Kluyveromyces lactis: one gene and its partners. Each later gene encodes a partner of the first gene's protein in a complex. Links are inferred from orthologs where the notes say so. Each region holds a gene or a part of one and is shown on either strand. Other genes may lie near its edges.

The links.
Region 2: PRP31 (region 1) and SNU23 share a complex: the UniProt entries of both Saccharomyces cerevisiae proteins name them as parts of the U4/U6-U5 tri-snRNP complex. The link is inferred for Kluyveromyces lactis from reciprocal best matches to the Saccharomyces cerevisiae genes PRP31 and SNU23.
Region 3: PRP31 (region 1) and SMD1 share a complex: the UniProt entries of both Saccharomyces cerevisiae proteins name them as parts of the U4/U6-U5 tri-snRNP complex. The link is inferred for Kluyveromyces lactis from reciprocal best matches to the Saccharomyces cerevisiae genes PRP31 and SMD1.
Region 4: PRP31 (region 1) and SME1 share a complex: the UniProt entries of both Saccharomyces cerevisiae proteins name them as parts of the U4/U6-U5 tri-snRNP complex. The link is inferred for Kluyveromyces lactis from reciprocal best matches to the Saccharomyces cerevisiae genes PRP31 and SME1.
Region 5: PRP31 (region 1) and PRP8 share a complex: the UniProt entries of both Saccharomyces cerevisiae proteins name them as parts of the U4/U6-U5 tri-snRNP complex. The link is inferred for Kluyveromyces lactis from reciprocal best matches to the Saccharomyces cerevisiae genes PRP31 and PRP8.
Region 6: PRP31 (region 1) and PRP4 share a complex: the UniProt entries of both Saccharomyces cerevisiae proteins name them as parts of the U4/U6-U5 tri-snRNP complex. The link is inferred for Kluyveromyces lactis from reciprocal best matches to the Saccharomyces cerevisiae genes PRP31 and PRP4.
Region 7: PRP31 (region 1) and SNU114 share a complex: the UniProt entries of both Saccharomyces cerevisiae proteins name them as parts of the U4/U6-U5 tri-snRNP complex. The link is inferred for Kluyveromyces lactis from reciprocal best matches to the Saccharomyces cerevisiae genes PRP31 and SNU114.

What each region holds. Positions count from the first base shown.
Region 1 is NC_006040.1:1,253,026-1,256,284, reverse strand, and holds PRP31 (U4/U6-U5 snRNP complex subunit PRP31), read right to left. Parts: upstream 1,905-3,259; coding exon 501-1,904; downstream 1-500. Other genes in the region: KLLA0_D14905g (serine/threonine-protein kinase), read right to left, coding at 1-220; DNA-directed RNA polymerase core subunit RPC40, read left to right, coding at 2,258-3,259. UniProt on the Saccharomyces cerevisiae protein: Promotes the association of the U4/U6.U5 tri-snRNP particle with pre-spliceosomes to form the mature spliceosomal complex.
Region 2 is NC_006041.1:139,236-141,565, reverse strand, and holds SNU23 (U4/U6-U5 snRNP complex subunit SNU23), read right to left. Parts: upstream 1,062-2,330; coding exon 501-1,061; downstream 1-500. Other genes in the region: AIM36 (Aim36p), read left to right, coding at 1-310; TPP1 (polynucleotide 3'-phosphatase), read left to right, coding at 1,291-1,998; proteasome regulatory particle lid subunit RPN6, read right to left, coding at 2,092-2,330. UniProt on the Saccharomyces cerevisiae protein: Participates in pre-mRNA splicing. Part of the U4/U5/U6 tri-snRNP complex, one of the building blocks of the spliceosome.
Region 3 is NC_006040.1:320,348-322,641, reverse strand, and holds SMD1 (mRNA splicing protein SMD1), read right to left. Parts: upstream 927-2,294; coding exon 501-926; downstream 1-500. Other genes in the region: U4/U6-U5 snRNP complex subunit PRP38, read left to right, coding at 1-353; KLLA0_D03751g (uncharacterized protein), read left to right, coding at 1,558-2,121; KLLA0_D03740g (uncharacterized protein), read right to left, coding at 2,111-2,294. UniProt on the Saccharomyces cerevisiae protein: lays a role in pre-mRNA splicing as a core component of the spliceosomal U1, U2, U4 and U5 small nuclear ribonucleoproteins (snRNPs), the building blocks of the spliceosome. Also binds telomerase RNA and is required for its accumulation.
Region 4 is NC_006037.1:204,513-206,687, reverse strand, and holds SME1 (mRNA splicing protein SME1), read left to right. Parts: upstream 1-1,393; coding exon 1,394-1,675; downstream 1,676-2,175. Other genes in the region: mRNA transport regulator MTR10, read right to left, coding at 1-1,121; mitochondrial 37S ribosomal protein PET123, read right to left, coding at 1,956-2,175. UniProt on the Saccharomyces cerevisiae protein: Involved in pre-mRNA splicing. Binds and is required for the stability of snRNA U1, U2, U4 and U5 which contain a highly conserved structural motif called the Sm binding site. Involved in cap modification.
Region 5 is NC_006037.1:471,930-476,229, forward strand, and holds part of PRP8 (U4/U6-U5 snRNP complex subunit PRP8), read left to right. Parts: coding exon 1-4,300. UniProt on the Saccharomyces cerevisiae protein: Functions as a scaffold that mediates the ordered assembly of spliceosomal proteins and snRNAs. Required for association of BRR2 with the spliceosomal U5 snRNP, and the subsequent assembly of the U4/U6-U5 tri-snRNP complex.
Region 6 is NC_006041.1:426,787-430,157, forward strand, and holds PRP4 (U4/U6-U5 snRNP complex subunit PRP4), read left to right. Parts: upstream 1-1,491; coding exon 1,492-2,871; downstream 2,872-3,371. Other genes in the region: DPB2 (DNA polymerase epsilon noncatalytic subunit), read left to right, coding at 1-232; Rab geranylgeranyltransferase BET2, read right to left, coding at 310-1,284; HDA3 (Hda3p), read right to left, coding at 2,928-3,371. UniProt on the Saccharomyces cerevisiae protein: Involved in RNA splicing. Is required for the association of U4/U6 snRNP with U5 snRNP in an early step of spliceosome assembly.
Region 7 is NC_006037.1:603,631-607,810, forward strand, and holds the start of SNU114 (U5 snRNP GTPase SNU114), read left to right. Parts: upstream 1-1,380; coding exon 1,381-4,180. Other genes in the region: TPO5 (Tpo5p), read right to left, coding at 1-1,221. UniProt on the Saccharomyces cerevisiae protein: Component of the U5 snRNP complex required for pre-mRNA splicing. Binds GTP.

The DNA of each region.
Region 1 (3,259 bases):
CTGCCGTCAAATCTCCCTGAGTATCATCGTCGATATCCATGAGCGAGTTTTCAGGGTTTTTTACTATCGATCTAGTAGGAGACGGAGAACCACGTATTCTCGTTGGAGTGCTTGGGGGATCTAGCATAACTTTAGCATCCGTATCAAAACTGAAATTGACCATATCGTCGACCAATGCGTCGACCTCCTTGTGACGACCATTCGCATCTCTTGTAAACATTTCTTATTTTAAACTGTGTGATTGAAGTATGTAAATAAAACCGTTAGTGCTTCAGGTCAGACACGTTACTTCTGACTTGACACAATGAATTATCGGCAGATCTGATCGAATAAGAGACCCTAAAGTTCAATGGTTAAGTTGTGTTCTTTGTTTAAAGTTTTCAATTCGAACATTGGATCATCTTTTTGTGTTTTGGTTTTGCCATAATAGGAATCGTAATTACAGATCTATGAATAGACATATACAGGGTATAAAAGGTACACGGCAGAACTATGGTGTCTCACAACCGTGGTTGTTTGCTGGTGGCGGGGTCCGTAGCTTGTGGGTGCTCTGCACTACGTTTGAGCTTTTCGGACCTCTCATCCTGTAGGAAACTGTGCGTGTTTTTAGTCTCTTGATCTAATCTTAAACGCATAGATTTACGCATTTTGGTCTTATTGAAAGAGGACAATGCGGAAACGTTCTTTGAATCGGCCATCCCGAACCCTATTTCTTCTCCGTATGGGTCCATGGTGGTCTGTTCCTCTTTACCGAACTCCATTCTGTTTTGCATTTGCCTTAGATGCGACATCTTGAACTGTTCTTTGTACTTACGGAACCTTCTACCAGCTCTTTTCTTCTTTGGAGCGTCTTCTGGGATCGGCAACGGCTTGATGTTACTGATATTCGGCGGATCTATTATCTTCTTGAGTTTTTCAACGATTTCATGCCTCCATTTCAAGCCCAGCTTCGAGGCATCTGAGTTCCCATCTGAATTCCCATCTGGGTTAATGACTTGATTCCCCATGGTGCAATCCGCTCTCGCAGCAAGAGCAACCTTGGCAGAGACCATTCTAAGCGCCTGTTTCTGGAACTCAGGAGGCTGTGTTTGTACCACGTCTGTATAGAATAGATATCCCTTTTGTCGTACCCCAGAGATATCTAACGATTTGCCATGCAACGTTTTGTCCTGGCCAATGGATGCCAAATTACAACTGGGAACCACACTTAGTTCTTTAACACTACCACAATGTGTTACCAGTTTAGCTGCAGTATCAGGTCCCAATAAAGCACATAAGTTTGGAGCTACCATTTGTATTCTTGTCTCAACATAGTGTGAGACGTTGTCCCGTAAGTTGTACAGAATATCGAACCAATGGATGGCCTTGGAGAGGAGATCCTTATCAATTCGAGCACCCTCTTTGAAATCTGTCTTTAGAGACATAGATACCACAAGGGTTTCCTCCTTCGATAGCACTTGGTCTAATTGCACGTTGGGAATATCCTGTTGCAGCATCTTGACCACGTCGACGTATTGTTTCCTTTCAGGGACAATAGTTTCCAACCCAGGGAACTTGGCCTTGTAGGTATCTACAATGCATTGAAACACCATGGAAAGCTCTGTATCGAATAAAGGCATCAATTGGCCCAGTTTTATGACATTGTAAGGCTCTGTCGTATGGTTTGTTGCATCTCGTATTATAGTTTCGTGCTTGGCAAGTTGGATGAGGTCATCTAAATCCGCGCCTTGGTGCCAGAATTGCGCGTGAAAGTCAGATATTAGGTTGCTAACACTAGGAGAGGGTAAAATATCCGATTCTGTGGCTATACCACTGGTTATACCACTGGTTACACCACTTAACCCATCATCCAAGCTTTCCTCATCGCTGACACTTCCATAATCTTCGTCATCTAAAAGGTCCATTATCACCTTGTGAAAGAGTAAGACAGGGGAATATGGTTATCCAGTTACAATCCAACTGTAAAATACCACATACTGAACTAACTGAGGATGGTCAAAAGAGCAGTAATCGACTAGTACCTGCTCTCGAGTAGCTATCTCATCGCATTTCTACCAATCTTTAATCATATATAATCACTCTATACGATGTGATCTTTTCTTTTCCAAAAATTTTTCAGTTCTTTAAAGCGATGAGATGAGCTTGAGATGAGGTATCTACACCGATGAGACGGACCTTGACCAGTGTCATAGGGCTTTTCTGAGGTCGTTTGAGAGCTCAAGAGGTAGCATAAACGTAGCAATACAATTGAAAAAGGATGTCCAATATCGTTGGTGTTGAATATAACCGTGTGACGAACACAAGTTCAACAGATTTCCCTGGATTTAGTTCGGATCAAGACAATTCATGGGACTTGGAGAAGTTCAAGGAAACTTTTGACGTACAAATCGAGAGTTTGGATGAGCGTGAAGTGAATTTCGATTTGGTTCATGTCGACACATCGATTGCTAACGCTTTCCGTCGTATTATGATCTCAGAAGTACCATCTGTCGCTCCAGAATACGTCTACTTTTTTAACAATACGTCTGTGCTACAGGACGAAGTGTTGGCGCATAGAATCGGGTTAGTGCCATTGAAGGTGGATCCAGATATGTTGAGTTGGGTGGACACGTCATTGCCCGAATCTGAAAGGTTTACAGATGAAAATACGATAGTGATGTCGTTGAACGTGAAATGTACCAGGAACCCAGATGCTCCAAAGGATTGTGAAGACCCCAAGGTTCTTTATAGAAACGCGCATATCTATGCTAGGGACCTTAAGTTTGAGCCTCAGGGGAAACAGGTGGAACAATTTGCCAAGTGTCCCGTGGTGGCAGCGGATCCAGATATCTTGTTGGCCAAGTTGAGACCAGGTCAAGAGATTTCGTTAAGGGCACATTGTATTCTAGGTATCGGTGCAGACCATGCCAAGTTCTCTCCGGTGTCGACAGCTAGTTATAGACTATTACCACACATCCAGATCACACAGCCTATCACCGGTGATGATGCCAAGAAATTTGTGAAATGTTTCCCTAAAGGTGTCGCAGATGTCAACGAGAAGGGTGAAGCTTATATCAAGGATCCAAGGAAGGATACCGTGTCCAGAGAGGTGTTGAGACACGATGAGTTCCAGGGGAAGGTTAAGTTGGGTAGGGTGAGAGACCACTTCATCTTTAACGTGGAGAGTTCTGGTGCTATGACACCGGAAGAAATCTTCTTCAAATCGGTCAGGATCTTGAAGAACAAGGCGGAATACTTGAAGAACTGTCCAATCTCACAA
Region 2 (2,330 bases), on another chromosome or scaffold:
TGAATTCTTCAGAAATAAGTCTGACGATAAATATTATGTGCTTTTAAATGATTTATATGAAAAGGAGGGGAAATCGTACATGGAAAAACTACCAACAGGTCTCTCTGTCGTCTTGATAGGTAAATATATGAAGGAGAAATGTCAAAAGGGTGACACTGTTTATCTACTTGACTTCCCAGACAATATAAAAGATGCGATCAAGTTCGAAAATGAGGTTTCCGTTATCGACAAAGTTATTGTACCAAATTCAGAAGGAGACGGCCAGGTTTCCAAATACTTTAAAACCGTGGATAAAGTTGAGACCATCTAAAATGACCCCTCATGCCATTTTCCCCATCGGCACCCTTTTGCATATATCTGGGGACTTCCTATAACAATCCATCCAACTTTATCTCGATTAAACTTTGTAAATATCATCAGTATCTAATTGCCATTCAGCAGAAGTACGTTGTGAATAGTGGGATGTAGATATGCTTCGAATAAAAACGTCAATATTTATGTTATTTCTTGGAACTTCCGAATTCTGTGAAACCCATTAACCTGCCGATTTCAGACTGTGGTTGATATTTGATTTCTGCATCAGATTTCTCACATTTGACTCTCTTTGCCGCTTTGCGTTTATTGGATCTCAATTCAGTGTCCCCGATAAATGCTGATACAGATTTATGAAACTGGGATCGTACCTCATTAAGTGGTACTAGATCATTATCCCTCGTATCTTTTATCAATGGCTCGTTGAATATGTTCTCAAACCGTACAACATGTGATTTGTGATTCAAATGGTTAATGAATTGTAGTGTGTCTTTGAAGGTTAAGTCACATATGTCACAGTAAAACCCGAACTGTTTACCTTTTTTCTGCTGACTTAGATTGGCTGATAACGTCTTTTTATTGATGTCGCGTAGATTATACTCGAGTAAAGCATTGTAGTCTGTGTATCTATCTTTTAAAGCTTTCAGTTGTTCCTGGTCTAATGATGAAAGATGAGATTGCCCTCCTGGAGAAGTTGCTGCCTTGGCAGCATACTCTTCTCTATTCCATGTTCTTCGTCCAAATGACATATTGATTTATAGTGAATAGTACTCCTTCTCAGAACTCAGTACCTGATCTCTTCCTAGGTCATGGAACTTATTATGCATGTCAACATTAAATTAGTTGATGTTTTCCATATTGGATCTTTTAAGTCATTTCATCTCAAAAGAAGGCATAAATGGAACTACAAATTAGTAAAGTACAAGAGTATTTCAAAGGAGTCAGCCATTGTCATATTAATTGTAACAGTTTGCTATCATGTCACAGTCTACTCATAAGCTTACCATTCTCCCTCATATCATAAAATGGGTTCCCAAAGATCCCGCCCCTGTAAGGAAGGTCATCTCATTTGACCTTGATCACACCGTGATCAAACCAGTTAAAGGCCGATTCAGTAGGACATCAGATGATTGGATATTCATGAAATATGGAAAAACCGAGGTACTTGCTAAACTTTCGGCACAAATGAAGGAAACACCAGATTTTCACATCGTCTTCTTCTCCAACCAAGGCGGTGTTGTTAGTGAACCTAGAACCTCTAAAAGCTGCGTAAAACACGTTGATAAAATTTGCAAAGTATTGAAATACATATCGGAAAACGATTCTCAACTGTGTGATCGTATTTGGATTTACTGTGCTACTAAAAAACCAGCTTCCCTTTTTGGTGGCAGCAAAGCCGCCAGCACTGCTCACGCAAATAAAGTTGTTAAGAACATTATTTCTGGCCAGAAGAAAAGAATAAACGGGACAATGGTAACACCTGAAATGTTTGATAATGTGAGAAAACCCAATCGTGGTTTGTTTGATGAATTTCTTAAAGATTCTGACGAACAATCGGACTCAATTGAACTTTTATTTTACTGCGGGGATGCTGCAGGAAGACCAAATGATTTTAGTGACAGTGACAAAGAGTTTGCTAAAATATTGGGCGTACCTTTCAAGGTACCGGAGGAATACTTTATTTGAATTTCGAATGATCTTAAACCTACGTAAAATATATTTATTTACTAAGTTACTTTAATGATTGAAGGATGAGCGTATTATAATGAATTTTTAATTTTAGTATAATACAGCGGCTTTTTCAAAGAGTTGTTCTACAACTCCATTGAGTTGATTGATCAATTCTAACGAAGAATCATAAGTGGCATCCTGTTGTGGTGTCTCATAAATATAAAGCCATCCGTTTCCTTGGTCAAGCACACCAAAGAAAACTTTGTCTAAAATCATTTGTGAAAGTTTGCCCTCTACTTGTTGAGCATCAAGCCCGATAATCTTTGAGATATGCGATACTTCAACAC
Region 3 (2,294 bases), about 930 kb from region 1:
TGGTATTATGTTATATGAGAATCTCGTATTATTTCTTAACTGAGAGTAATCCTTCCGAGCAAGATATATCGTTCAATTTATTACATGATTTAATGAAGAAATATATACTTGATCATAGAAAATTAAAAAGTTACTCGTTAGATATGGATTGTTGGTCATCATCGATTAAAAAAGAGATTAAATTGATACATTTCGATGAGTTGATAGACTGGTTATGCGACAGGAATGAAATTTGGGGCATCCCCTTAGGAAAATGCAATTGGTGTAAAATATGGGACGATGAAGAGGACGATGAGAGCTCAAGCGACTCGGACTCCAGCTCTGATCCAAGAGATGACAGTGATCAAATTTGATTCCATTCTTTCTTTTTTTGGAGGCATCGACTGGAAAGAACGGCTATTCATTATGAAAGATAATTATCAATAGTGTTTAATCATTCATCAAAACAAAGTCCATAACATCACTACATATTTATTTCCACATATGTTTTCTGATGTATATTAAAATGCCCTCTTTGGACGTTTAGGAGCATTCCCGTTACTCTCAAGTGATCTCTTCTTATTCGGATCACTTCCCACTTTACCTTGTTTCCTCAACCTGTTGACTTCCTGTTGGTCTACAAGCAACGCATCCAAATTGATACTATCTGGTAAAATAATCTGCCTTATCGTATTACCCCTAATGTTGATGAACTCGAGGCTAGTTGTTCTCTTAGATTCTTGTCCTTGTGTCGATCCACCTGACAATAAGACGGCAGCCAAGGTAGCTTCTGAGGTCTTAGTAGGGAGTGTCAGCCTGACGTCAGTAAGAGAGACGTTCATCTGCGGTGACACACTCCTCACTATTCCCCAAACAGTGGTACCATTCTTCAACTCTATAGACACCCTTTCATTCTTTAGTTTCTTTAAGAACCCTGTTAACTGCATTTTGTCTGTATATAAAACTTCGTTGTTTCAATCGGACTAAAGATACACCAGAAAGCTGTTACCAGTTTCAAATGGTTTTGATGAAAAAGAGTTTTGAATTTTGCAAAAGTAACAGATGATCCACAAGCAACTTCCTGATTTTGATAAAAGATCAGGATTTGATCGTAGTTACTCAATTGACATATTCTACATAATGATGGATGAAATGGTTCAAATTGATACTCAAGAATCAATGGGGTCGTTCTTTCCTGGAAAAGAGTGGAAATTTCATATTATCACGTGCCTTAACAGGGTAACTCATTTGCGTGAGATTCCAATGGTTTCTTACATTCGAGCGAGCATGTGTTCGAATCTTACATGGAACCCAAAAAGTATTTAGATCCGTTGCATCTCATGTTAAATGGTTAACAGATACACGGAGAAGTGCGATAAGAAACTATCCATGCAAGCGATAACAAAACGTTCTGTCAGTCATTGCTTTGATAAAATCTGGATATATATATATATATATATATATAGATGTTAAAGTCAGATATTACTCTTTTCATATCTCATGGATCGCAAGCTTTCAAGGTTACTGCTGCTCGCATCGAGAGATTGGGAGTATTAAAGATTAACGCCAAGAGTAAACATGTCGTCATCAGTAATCTTGAAGAGATATAATATTTTACTCAAACGTAACCCGTTATTAACTAAATGCATAACAGGCGCGGTATTAACTGGGTTAAGCGAACTGTTCAGTCAATGGGTTAGTCTGTCTCCAGAGGAAAGAAAAGAGAAGCTAAATTGGATCAAAGTGGCATTGATGAGTCTATATGGTGGTCTATTTAACGCACCAGTTAATCATTTCAGTTACAAATGGATAAACGAATACACAATTAGGAAAGTGGTATCCAAATATAGAAGCTTGGTCCAGTTAGGCTGCTCATTAGGCATGGTATCGCCTATTCAAGTGTTAGGGTTACTATTTACCTTGACTTCTGTTAACAACGGTAAGGTTGACAAAACAAAAATTATACACGCAATCAAGACAAGATATGCGGCAATGTTGTCTTCCAGCTTGGCAACATCAACGGTATTGATGTCAATTGCTCAAAGATACATTTCACCAGATAAATGGTCCGTATTTTTTAGTTTGGCATACGCAATTCTGGGTACGGCTCAGAATATTTATTTGAAGAAATTCAAGAAATAAGGGTCTTGATCCATTCTGATAAAATATTACTTTCATTCTTCAAGGAAAGAATCTCTCTCCGCAAATTCTCTTGAATCATTCGGTTTTTATCGTCCTCAGTTTGATCGTTTTCTGAAGACAAAGATATTGGACTCATCGGTAGTTTATTCCAATGTTCCAATTCGCTTTTCAAG
Region 4 (2,175 bases), on another chromosome or scaffold:
GTAATCAAACCATTCGTTAAATTAATAAATACATCCTGATATTCTTTTCTTTGTTGAGCGTAACGTTGTAAAACTAACATTTGCCTCAAATTAAACCAAAATGGGAAAGTATACGAAACGATATCGAGGTCAGTGTTCTTGCAAGTTAATACCAAGATGACTTCAACCAATGGTTTGAATAAGGCAGGATTCTTTGCAAGAAAAACACACCACGCTTCGCCAGCTTCAACGAATAAACGTGTGAGTGGATCCATAATCTCTTCGTATTCTTCCCAGTCAGAAATGGTTGTGATTGGCAATAGCTTTTGTTGCAAAGCTAAAAGTTGCTCGTAAAGCGCATGTATGATTGTATCGTTGGCTGCGTCTCTCGTTTCTCTTAATAACACACATAAGCATTCTACTGCAGCTTCAAAAGAATCAGAATCAGTATCATATGAAGTATGCAAGACTTGGAACACGGTGTTTATCAATGGAGTCACTTGTAATACCTGTTCTATTGGAAATTCATAACACCACGATCCAAAGCACGAAATGATTTTAGAAGCAGATATGCCTTCAGTTCCGACTCTATCCAAACATGAAATCAAAAATTTCAATACGTCTTCTCCAATGTTATCTATAAGTTCGTGTGTTCTACACTCAAATTCATCTTGGGATAGAGGAGTGGATTTGATATCCAATGTTTCCTCTGGGAGAATCTTCAAAAACAGTAGTAACTTTCCCGGAAGACCATTTAGAGTATTAATAATTTCAACTAGCGGATTCCTCCAATCAAGATACTGAATGGTAAATCGGGCTAGTGCCACGTTCAACTGTGTTACTATGATCTTCTCTTCATACATAGCGATGAACTCAAAGAGCTTTCCCTTGAAACTCTCTAATTCGGTATTGACCTGGTTTAGATCATAGGTGACTTTGTTCACTAGAGTTTGACAAGCAAACATTTGCAACTGTAAGTTGTCTGCTTCATGCTTGCTTAATACTTCGAAGCAGATTTGCCATGCTTCTATGCTCTTTTGAAATTGCTCCAAAAATTGTAAAGCTTGTATCTTCTTCTCCTGTTCAGAAACACTTTGAGTACAAATCAATGCACTCTTGATATCTGGGATTTGATACAACATCAATATTGATCAATCACGTCGTTCTTGCTCAACGGTATCTGCTGTGGCAGTTTTTATGAGTTCCTTTTATAGTGCATAAGTAAGATCAAATGTTTTGGTTGATTCAATATATAAAATTTTTTTAATATGTTAACAATAATCCTATTAAACTAATATCAAACGAATTCAACATGGCACTAGTGACTGACATTAATAAAGGATAACTGCGATCTGATTATAGTTACACTAACATCGACCTTCAATACACCGAAAGATTCTAGAAAAAGTCTAAAATGTCCGGCTCTAAAGTAGGAGCTCCTATGGTACCTCCAATCAATTGCATATACAACTACCTTCATCATCAGACAACAGTAACGTTTTGGTTATACGAACAAGTACAGACACGTATAAGAGGCAAGATCAGAGGCTTTGATGAGTTCATGAATGTGGTAATAGATGACGCTTTCGAAATAGCTGTAGATCCGAAAAGTGGTAAAGAGAGCGATGATAAAGCAGTGTTTCTTGGGAGAATTATGTTGAAAGGTGATAATATAACACTTGTTGTGGCAAATTGATAATGCCTACTCAGAAAATGATAATAGGATGAAAGAAAGATGCTTAGAGTGTAGAAGCATTGATCGGACTCTGTCGTGTAATTATATAAGCCTGTATATTATAACGGAAAAATGAAAGGCACTGAAATTTCGATAACGGCGACAAGCACTATCAAGGCTAATAAAGATATATTGTTCGTAATCTTATGGATCTATTTACAATGTGTTGCTCAGATTGGGGAGAATACCTTAAGTTCATATGGTTTCTTTTGTGTCAGTGATATTATCTAAAAGATATATCTCAAAGGACAGAGTCTTTACGTTCTTCCGCTTGTTTAGTTAATTCATCCAATTTGGTATTAATTTCCTGGTTAAATTGTTCCATCTCACCAGATAAAAATTCCTTCACAATTGGCAAACCTACGTATTTGCCGTTGCCCAAAGTACCAAATAATGCATCCGAAATTTCACCTTCGTTTCTTGCTGTTTGTTGAGAAGTCGACAAAGACAACTTATTTCTT
Region 5 (4,300 bases), on another chromosome or scaffold:
AACGTGAAGAGTTAGCTTTAATTGAAGAGGCATATGACAATCCTCATGATACCTTGAATAGAATTAAAAAACTATTGCTAACCCAAAGATTATTCAAGCCAATACAACTAACAATGATGGATCATTATCAACACATATCTCCAGTCTATAACGTTGATCCGTTGGAGAAAATTACCGATGCATATCTTGACCAGTATCTATGGTATGAAGCTGACAGAAGGCAGCTTTTCCCTAGTTGGATAAAGCCAGGTGACTCAGAAATCCCGCCACTTCTTGTTTACAAATGGTGTCAAGGCATTAACAACTTAGATTCTGTATGGGACATCAGCAAAGGGCAATCGACCGTATTGTTGCAAACTGATTTACAAGAATTCGTTGAAAAGATGGATTTGACACTAATAAACAGGCTCCTAAGGTTAATTATCGATCCGACATTAGCGGATTACATTACTGCAAAGAATAATGTCAGTTTGATCTTTAAGGATATGAATCATGTTAACAAATATGGTCTAATAAGGGGATTACAATTTGCACCATTTGTTTATCAATTTTATGGTTTAATGATTGATATTCTCATCTTGGGACATGAAAGGGCACAGGAACTAGCAGGCCCTCCAAACGAACCATCTGAATTCTTGCAATTTCCAGATAAAGCTACTGAAACGAAGAGCCCAATTCGCCTCTACTCACGCTATCTTGACAAAATCCATATTTTATTCCACTTTGAAGAATCTGAGTCTGATGAGCTTATCCAAGACTATTTGATGGAAAACCCCGATCCAAATTTTGAAAATTCTGTTGGTTATAACAACAAGAAATGCTGGCCTAGAGACGCCCGCATGAGGTTAATCAGACACGATGTTAATCTAGGTCGTGCTGTTTTCTGGGAACTTACATCTAGGGTACCAAAATCACTTGTTAACATAACGTGGGAGAATACTCTTTCTTCAGTTTATAGCAAGAATAATCCTAATTTACTTTTCACTATGTGCGGTTTTGAGGTGAGAATACTACCGAAATCTCGGATGGAAGATGTCATTTCTCATGATGAGGGTGTATGGGATTTGGTGTTGGACTCCACAAAAGAACGGACTGCCAAAGCGTTTTTACAGGTATCACAAGAAGCTATTGATGAGTTTAGAGGTCGTATTCAAAGTATTTTGATGGGTTCCGGCTCCACAACTTTTACAAAAATTGTGGGCAAATGGAATACTGCACTAATCGCTTTGTTTACCTATTTTAGAGAATCTATCGTCACGACAGAACCGTTACTCGACTTACTCGTGAAATCTGAGACTAGAGTTCAAAATAGAGTAAAACTCGGCTTAAATTCTAAAATGCCAACAAGGTTCCCTCCAGCAGTGTTTTATACACCTAAAGAGTTAGGTGGTTTGGGAATGCTCAGCGCATCGCACATTTTAATTCCCGCTTCTGACTTGAGGTGGTCAAAACACACAGATACTGGAATAACACATTTCAGGGCAGGGATGTCCCACGAAGATGAGAAGATGATACCAACAATTTTCCGATACATTACTACCTGGGAGAACGAATTTTTGGACTCACAGAGAGTATGGGCGGATTATGCTGCTAAAAGACAAGAAGCCATAAAACAAAATCGTAGGTTGGCATTTGAAGAATTAGAGGGTTCTTGGGATAGAGGTATACCGCGGATCAGTACCATATTCCAAAAAGATAGGCATACGCTAGCCTATGATAAGGGTCACAGGATTAGGCGACAATTCAAAGAGTATTCAGTGGAACGTAGTAATGCTTTCTGGTGGACAAATAATCGTCATGATGGTAAATTATGGAACTTGAATGCCTATCGTACGGATGTCATTCAGGCCTTAGGGGGTATCGAAACAATTCTTGAGCACACATTATTTAAAGGAACTGGCTTTAAATCATGGGAAGGACTTTTCTGGGAGAAAGCCTCTGGTTTTGAAGATTCAATGCAGTTCAAGAAACTTACTCATGCACAAAGAACTGGTTTGAGTCAGATCCCTAATCGTAGGTTTACGTTATGGTGGTCTCCGACGATTAATAGAGCGAACGTCTACGTTGGGTTTTTGGTGCAATTGGATTTAACAGGAATATTCTTGCACGGTAAAATTCCAACATTGAAGATATCTTTAATTCAAATTTTCCGAGCACATCTATGGCAAAAAATCCACGAAAGTGTGGTTTTCGACATCTGTCAAATTCTGGACGGCCAAATGGATATACTACAGATTGAATCTGTTCAAAAAGAATCAATTCATCCACGTAAGTCGTATAAGATGAATTCGTCTGCTGCTGACATCACATTGAACAGTATTTACAAATGGAAGGTTAGCAGACCAACATTGTTGCATCAGACGAAAGATTCTTTCGACGCTACCACAACTGACAAAATGTGGATCGATGTGCAGCTTAGATATGGTGACTATGATTCTCATGATATATCAAGATATGTCCGTGCGAAATTTTTAGATTACACCACAGATAACGTGAGCTTGTACCCGTCTCCTACTGGTATTATGATCGGTATTGACTTGGCCTATAATATTTACGACTCCTATGGAACGTGGTTTGAGGGATTGAAGCCCTTGATACACAACGGTATGAAAACAATAATGAAAGCTAATCCAGCACTTTACGTTTTGAGGGAGCGTATCAGGAAAGGTCTTCAGATATATCAATCTCAAGTTCAAGAGCCATTTTTGAACTCATCCAACTACGCAGAGCTATTTTCCAATGACACAAAATTCTTTATCGATGATACGAATGTTTACCGGGTCACTGTTCATAGAACTTATGAAGGCAATGTGGCTACTAAGCCTATCAACGGATGCGTGTTTACTTTAAATCCGAAAACAGGTGAACTATATTTGAAAATAATTCACACTTCGGTGTGGGCGGGGCAGAGCAGATTGGCTCAATTGGCAAAATGGAAAACCGCAGAAGAAGTAAGTGCATTGGTTAGATCGTTACCCAAAGAAGAACAACCTAAACAAATTATAGTTACTAGAAAAGCTATGATGGACCCTATGGAAGTACACATGTTAGATTTCCCAAACATTTCGATTCGTCCAACTGAGCTCAGATTACCTTTTTCTTCTGTTTTGAACATAGAAAAATTAAATGATGTTGTTTTAAGCGCTACAGAACCGCAGATGGTTTTGTTCAACATTTATGATGACTGGCTAACTCGAGTTTCTGCCTACACTGCTTTCTCTAGATTGATATTGCTATTAAGAGCGCTCAAAACCAATGAAGAAAAAGCCAAAATGATTCTATTAGAGGATCCTACAATCCCAACGAGAGCTAATCATCTATGGCCTTCTTTTACTGATGATCAGTGGATTGAAATTGAGACGAAGATGCGTGATCTAATTCTCTTAGAGTATGGTCAAAAATACAATGTAAACATTGCTTCTTTGACTCAAACTGAAATCAAGAATTTGATTTTAGGACAGAACATTAGAGCTCCATCTGTTCAGAGGCAGAAGATGGCAGAATTGGAGGCTGCAAGAAATCAGAAAACTGATGAGTCGTCGCAGTCTGCCACGGCAGCCATGAAGCTAAAAACAATCAATGCTCAAGGTGAAGAAATTACAGTGGTGTCATCCAGCAATTATGAGTCCCAATCTTTCAGTTCGAAAAATGCTTGGCGGTCAAATGCAATCTCCAATTCATTGCTACATTTGAAGCTTAAGAACATATATGTTACTGCCGAAGATTTTGTAGAAGATAAAGATGTCCTCGTATTCCCACGGAACTTGTTGAAGAAGTTTGTCACAATAGCTGATGTCGATGTCCAAATTGCAGGGTATATGTACGGGTCACCTGTAAAAGATCACCCTAATGTGAAGGAAATTAAGACGATAGCACTTGTCCCTCAACTCGGCAGTTCCGCAACTGTTCGCATATCTCCTCCCCCCTCATCTTCCAAATATCTCAACGACATGGAACTGTTGGGATGGATACATACCCAAAAAGTCGATTCCAAATTCATGTCACCATCTGAAGTGATCACTCATTCCAAAATGTTTTCAGATCATAACGAAAGTGCTGTTGATTTGTGCATAAATCTAATCCCAGGTGCCGTATCAATTACAGGATATACGTTAAGCACTACGGGTTTCAACTGGGGCTTACAATCGAAAGACATAACGGACCCTTCACCAGAAGGGTTTGAAGCTTCATTTAGCGAGACTGCACAGATTTTATTATCTGAACGCATTATGGGCAATTTCTTGGTACCTTCGTCATCGATATGGAATTACGCTTTCATGGGAACTGCTTTTAGCGAAGA
Region 6 (3,371 bases), on another chromosome or scaffold:
TCCGTTTTCATCAAGAATTCGACCAACTGTTTGGGATCTTGATTTCACATTGCAGCTATCACCGCTTCCATCGAGTATCATGCTGTGTGACACTAGCGCACCAGCTTTCGATGTAACGTACAACGGATGCAAAACGATCAACCCCGGTAGATTTATTCACAAAAGAGCTGCCAAATATATAGAATTCTTCCCTGCTTCTAAGGTTCTAGTAGAGGAAGAGCTACCATTTTAATTTATCAATATTAAACTACTTGTGGACCTACTTTTTGCGGTCGTTAGCATTCATAATTTATTTAAGTTTCTAAGACACTAATCTGAGTACTTGCGTTGGAAATATTTCGTCACCGTATATGGCATACAGTATACTGGATCAATATCTCTTAATCCTGGATACTTCATTATACTTAATCCTCCTAGACCAAAAACCGTGTGAAATACGTCGACTTCGTTGTCTGGTCTGTCACTAATCCCTCCATTTTTGGGATCCTGACAATGCAAAATGAACTCCGTTAGCTTGGGAAAATCAATCCAATCAGCTTTTTGGAGTATTGAAAGTGTTGATAATACCCACCAGCTATAGCATACATCGGGCAGTTTGCTTGGCCTACCATTTAAGCCCCCCTCTGGAACTTGTCTTTCTGAGAGCCAAACAGCAATATTCTCCTGCTGAGCTGGAGTTAAAGAGTCTAATTTTCCGACGATTGCTAAAGCAGCAATGCAAGTAAATGCCTGAGCAGCATGAGATTCTGCTTCAGGATTTAAGCCAAATCCGCCATCGAAATTGTAACATCTAAGGATATACGAAACTGCTGGTTCTACAACTTCTTTCGTCAATTTGTGTAAAATGGACAAACAGCTCAATGCAGTATATACGAAACGTGTGTCGACTTCACCAAAACTATCACCTTGGAATGAGCCGTCTGCTTTTTGATTGGATAGGATAAATTTTTCCAATTGTTCTTGCTTCTCTGAACCCAAGCGCTCTAAAGCGTTGTAAGTAGCCAAAATCTGAAGCCCTGAAAGAGTCGTTAATAGATGACCATCATGTCTTGGAAACGCAGCAAACCCACCAGTTTTATGATCCCAACAGCTTAGGACAAACTGTATTACATCCTCCTTATTGAATGTTTCGATAGAATCAAGGAGATAGAGGGCTGTCAATCCCCAGTATACCCCATTCAACCTTAGATGTTCTGAGAGCCAGTACTCTAGATCATCTTTCTTAGTATCTAAAGACGCAATATAATCAATGTGTTTATCTCTTAACAACTGCTGTTCACTCATGATCGTTCGATCGACGCCTAGCTTCAGACCCTTTTTACTCGATGGAGTACCTCACTTGTTTTCCAACTTTTGAACTATTCATATTCAGGAATAACGATAAAGTTCATTTTATGAATATGCTTTTAAAGAAGTGAGATGATAAAGAGATGAAATCAAAAAAGTGGCACCGGTAACAACTCACCTTTGGACTATCTGCAGTAACTTCTAATGGTAGAATTAGATGATTTGCAGGTAGATGTTGACTACAAAAACCAGGATGGGCAATCAGTCGGAGATGCTCTGAAAAGATTGGAATTCCAAAGGCAAGAAAGGCTCAAAATTGTGCCTACTCTAGATACAGACGTTAGACGAGCACTAGAGCTAGTGGGAGAGCCCGTTGATATCGCTGGCGAAGATAATTATTCTCGCAGAGATCGACTTTCTGATCTTATTCTTAGCGATCCAAAAGCCAGAGAACGAGTTACAAGGTTAGTAGAGTCAACTTCCAAAGACCAGACGAAAATCGATACTGAAAGAAGTAAAGTAGATGATGAAGACGAGGAGTTCTACACTCCAGCATCACAGCAGTTGATAGAAATGAGGAAGTTTCTTATAATATACTCTATGCAACGCTCTAAGCTGAGGCTTGAGGAGGAGAGACGAAGACTTGTCAGCCAAAATGTGAAAAACGTCATAAGTAAGCGAAGGGACCTGGAAAGTAAATTGAAACAGTTCTCTTTGAAGGGAATGCAGGTGATAGATGAGAAACCTATTTCTGAAATTAATACTTCTCCTGGTGGAGACCTGATGGCTTGTGGCAGTTGGTCCGGAAATTTGTCTCTGGTCGATAATTCGTTGTCCAAAATCTACTGCAATAGATCTTTATCTGGCACAAAGATTAGTGGATTGGATTGGAGCGTGGACTCTAAAAACATTTTTGTCTGTACCCATGATGGACGCATTGTAATATATGATAGTGGTGATGAAACCACAGTTAAGATCTTGTATAAAAATGATGCCAGGTTTGCCCAAGTACGATGCCATCCATGTAATAGTTTTATTGGAAGTACGTCTTTTGACAAAACATGGATCCTGATAGATACTGTGAAACAAGCCCCTATTTTGATTCAGGAAGGTCATTCTGCGGAGGTTTTCTCACTATCTTTTCACAATGATGGCTCATTGGTGAGTACAGCTGGTTTGGATGCAATTGCATTAATATGGGACATACGGTCCGGTAAAAATATCATGTCATTACAGGGACACTCAAAACCTATTTATTCCGTTGACTGGTCCCAAAATGGATATCAGCTTGCGTCTGGTAGTGGTGACGGGACTATAAAGGTTTGGGATATTAGGAAAAAGGGAAATGTGGAAACGATCTTAGCTCACAATAGCATTGTTTCACAAGTCAAATTCAATAAGCAAAACGGAGGATATTTAGTGTCGAGTGGATATGACAAGAAAGTAAATATCTTCAATGATGGGAACTGGATAAAGGAACGAAGCCTTGAAGGGCATCTTGATAAGGTTATGTCAATTGATATTGTAGGTCCTGATATATATAGCGCGGGTTGGGACCGCTCAGTTAACAAATGGGGAGTCTAATTAATTCTACGCAAATTTGTAAAAACGTTAATCATTATGGATGTTAAAATTACGTATCATTTCTTCGATCGGCCATTAGTCGCCTGTCTTCCTCTGCTGGGTTGAATTTTCGATAGTCTATCAGTTATATATCCAAGTTTAGAATGAAGCCCTCCAAGATTTTGCCCTTCCTGTTGTAGTTGTGATTTCAAGAGATCTATTCTCTGTTCAGCACTGGCAACCTTCTTTTTATTTTCGGCTACACTGTCCTCTATTTTCGTTTTCAAGAGCTTGATTTCTTCTCTTAATTTATCTTGTTCTTTGTTGCTTTCATCAACAGATTGAGCGGCTCTTTCTATCTCCTTTTGCATGTATGTTCTCTCAGAAGATTTAGACTCCGAATTTCGTTTTTCTCTCTCGCGGGCATCTTGCAAGTTTGAAATTTCTTCTAGTAAACCCTTCAAAACCTTATGTGGTTCGCTTTTAGACCCTAATTTTGTCATTAAATCATTAATTTCTGA
Region 7 (4,180 bases), on another chromosome or scaffold:
ACGGCTTAAACTGTACAGTGCTCTTGAAGATGTAGTCACCGAGCCAATACCTGAAAACAATAGGTTTCCCAAGATCAATAGAACAAGGAAGATGGAAACGAATAACGATTTAGTAGATTTTGTGAAGATAAGCACGATGGGCATGACACCTTCATGATTCATTACCTCAGAGACATCAGGTAGAATGAGCATCATTGGGATCAAGAAAAATAGTCCGGAAACTAGTGAGATTATCACAGAGCGTGTCATACTGTAAGGAATATCTTTCTCTGGTTTCTCAGTTTCGTCAGATAATGCCGATAACATCGCAAACCCTTGGAAAGTGAAATTAGATTGCTGAAACCCTCCAATTAAAAATGACAAGGCCATAGAACTATACCCCGACAAACTATTATCGAATTTGGTAAAGACATCCTTGAATGATCTATGGTTTGGTTGGAATAATAGGAGAAGTGTACTTGTGAATAATATCGCATATAAGATCCAGTAAACACAGACCTTATTGATAGTTTCAATGAAACTTGAAAATTTTAGATTAATGACTCCAACCACAGTCACAATGAGATAAAACATTAGCACAGTCCATAACGTCAACCACCGGGAGTCTATCAGAGATTCATTAGTCATTGTCAGCAAAGAAATAATCAATTGTGCACCCGCAAACGTAATACTAGTGCTCATCGTCCAACTTCCAAACAACATTAGCCAACCACAGTACCAAGACATACGCAACCGAAGTCTGCCAGGCGCAAGCATGGCCGCTGCACCGTGAAGTTCTATGGGGTACTTCGAGACTATCTCACTGAGCGACAGTGAACTAATCCACGTCATTATCCCACATATCAGATACCCAAATATTATCGATGGAGATCCACCATTTAGCAATCCAATACTCATAGTAGTGCTCATACCAAGTACGGGACTCATCAACCCAAACCCTAGACCAATAACAGAAGTCCGCGAAAGTAAATTCTTGTCAAGTTGCTGTACATATGTAAACTCTTTAACCTCATCGGGAATATCCTGGTCTTCCTCGTTCAATAAAGACAACAATCGCTCGGGAATGTGTATGTTCCCGTTAAGATTAGAAAGCCAGATGTATTCAGGCATTTCAAAATGCAGTTCGGCTCTGTGTGACCCCTTGGTAAGCTCACCCTTTTTATTTCCTAGAACCCTTTCGGCATCCGTCTTGGCAAAATGTCTGTCTTTTCGAGGGCTCATCGATATTTTCAGTTCTTAGACATTATGTAAATGTTGACGAAAGTCAAAGCTTCGAGTAATGAAGATAGAATGATAAGCACATGCATTGCTCTTAGGGAAGACTACTGCGATTTGGGTGACGTGACTCAGCACTGAGTACTTTTGGAAGGAAATACAATAATGGATGAAGATTTGTACGATGAGTTCGGTAATTTCATTGGGGATCCAATGCAATTAATCGATTCTGATGATGATAGTTTGGAAGAAGTAGGAGAGCAGGAAGCTCAACATGAATTACGGCAAAAGATAGTCGAGGCTGACTCTACCGATGTGGTACTTCGAGATGTGAACCGTGATTTCGATGATGATGTTGAAGTTTTGTTGGAAGTGGAAGATAGAGAACCTGAGAAACCATTGATTGGGGACGATTCGAAATCATATAGCGAAGCTGTTAACAGGAAAGTACCTAAAGCACTATTTGACAGAGGGTACTTGAAAAGCCTTTTCTCGATACCAGAACGTCAGTTAAATGTTGGAATTTTCGGGGCGCTACATTGTGGTAAGACTTCTTTCACGGATATGTTTGCGTTAGATACTCATCGCAATCTTCCGTCCTTGACAAAAAAAGTTAAGGAGGGATGGGTACCGTTTAGGTACCTCGACCAAGCGAGGATAGAAAAGGAACGTGGTATTTCGCTTAGATTGAATGGTATGTCGTTTGCATATGAATCGTCAAGAGGACGTACGTATGCAGTGACGATGTTGGACACACCTGGACATGTAAATTTTTGGGACGATGTCGGTATTGCTTTGACTGCTTGCCAATATGGTGTAATCATCGTTGATGTGATAGAAGGAATTACTTCTGTAGTTTCCAAACTGATAAGAGAATTGATAAGTAATGGGATCCCCTTTATCATCGTTCTTAACAAAATTGATAGATTAATTTTGGATTTGAGACTTCCTCCTACAGACGCATACAGCAAACTACAATATATCGTGAACGAAATAAACACATATACCAAAGAAAGATTCTCACCGGAGCTAGGTAATGTACTCTTTGCCAGTACCAAGTTTGGATTCTTATTCTCTGTGGAGTCTTTTGTGAACTCATTTTACGCTAAATCGTTAAAGGATAAGACAGAACAATTTGCTGCTCAACTTTGGGGTCAAATTAATTACAGAGAAGGAGCATTCTACCAAACAGAATTTATTACGGACAACATTGCATTCATTCAGTTTATTTTACAACCTTTATACAAGGTTTTCACTCATACATTATCTGCATCCGAGGAAGAACTAAGAACAGTCATCGAAACCAATTTTCAAATCAGGCTTTCAGATGAGATTCTATCAAAGGATCCTCAGCCGCTACTTTTTAGCGTGTTTCATGCTATACTACCGCACTATCACTGCTTCATCGATGCTATTGTTTCAACACAGGACCACAAAATCAACAACTTATCATCCGATGAAAGCACTGTTGTACATGTATTGAGACACATGAGCCTGGAAGGTTCCAAGTGGTCCCTTTGTCGGATAATAGAGGGCTCAGTGAAAAAAGGCAACAAACTCTATATTTTCAATGAGTCCGTAGACTCTGTAGTAGATTTTGGTGATGATGAATACTCCAAGGTTACTATTGAGCGTGTAGCCTTAATGGGAGGTAGGTATGTCTACGAACTCGAGGAAGCAATAAAAGGACAGATTGTACTTTTAAAAGGTTTTGAAGATCAGTATACGAAATATGCAACTTTGTCTTCGAGCTTGATGAACCCGCTAGCACCAATTAACTATCTCAACGAATCGGTGTTCAAATTCGCCATACAGCCTCAGAAACCAAGTGAACTACCGAGACTATTGAACGGTCTTCAACAAGCAAACGAATTGTACCCTGCATTAGTGGTTAGAGTTGAAGAAAGCGGCGAAAACATCATAATTGGAACAGGAGAACTTTACCTTGATTGCGTGATGGACGAATTACGGAAAAAATTCTGTGAAATTGAGATCAAAGTAAGCCAACCGCTTGTGCAATTCACGGAAAGTTGTCAGAACGAATCGTTCGCGTCAATTCCTGTAAAGTCAAACAACGGTGTAGTATCACTCAGCGTTATGGCCGAAAAATTAGATGGAAAGATAGTACACGATTTGACGCATGGTGAAATCGACAGTTCAGAATTGAATAACATGAGAAAGTTCTCCAAACGTCTAAGAACCGAGTATGGATGGGACTCATTGGCAGCTAGAAACTGCTGGGATTTATCAAAATGTAATGTATTCATTGACGATACTCTACCTGATGAAACGGATAAGCAACTACTCAAGAAATATAAAGAAAACATTTTACAAGGGTTTGAATGGGCTGTGAAAGAAGGACCATTGGCTGATGAAACAATCCATGCATGCCAATTTAAACTCTTGCAATTCAAGGTACAAGAAGACAGCATCGAAGATATCATCCCATCTCAACTAGTGCCAATGACGAGAAAGGCATGTTACATTGCGCTAATGTCTGCTACTCCAATTATCATGGAACCCATCTATGAAGTCGATATTATCGTATCGGGGGTATTGGAGTCTGTGATTCAGAATTTATTGAAGAGACGCAGAGGTGGAAGAATTTACAAGACAGAAAAGATAGTGGCATCACCATTCATAGAAATAAAGGCTCAATTACCTGTCATCGAGTCGATTGGATTTGAGACAGATCTTCGTGTTGCGACCGCCGGTAGCGGAATGTGTCAAATGCACTTTTGGAATAAAATATGGAGAAAAGTGCCAGGTGACGTACTTGACGAAGAAGCCTTCATACCGAAGTTGAAACCAGCGCCTGCTGCAAGCCTAAGCAGGGACTTTGTGATGAAGACAAGACGTCGCAAGGGTTTATCTGAAAGTGGTCACATGACTCAAGACGGGCCATCATTAAAGAAATACATTGATCAAGATCTATTCAAGAAGTTGCAACAAAAACGATTTGTAT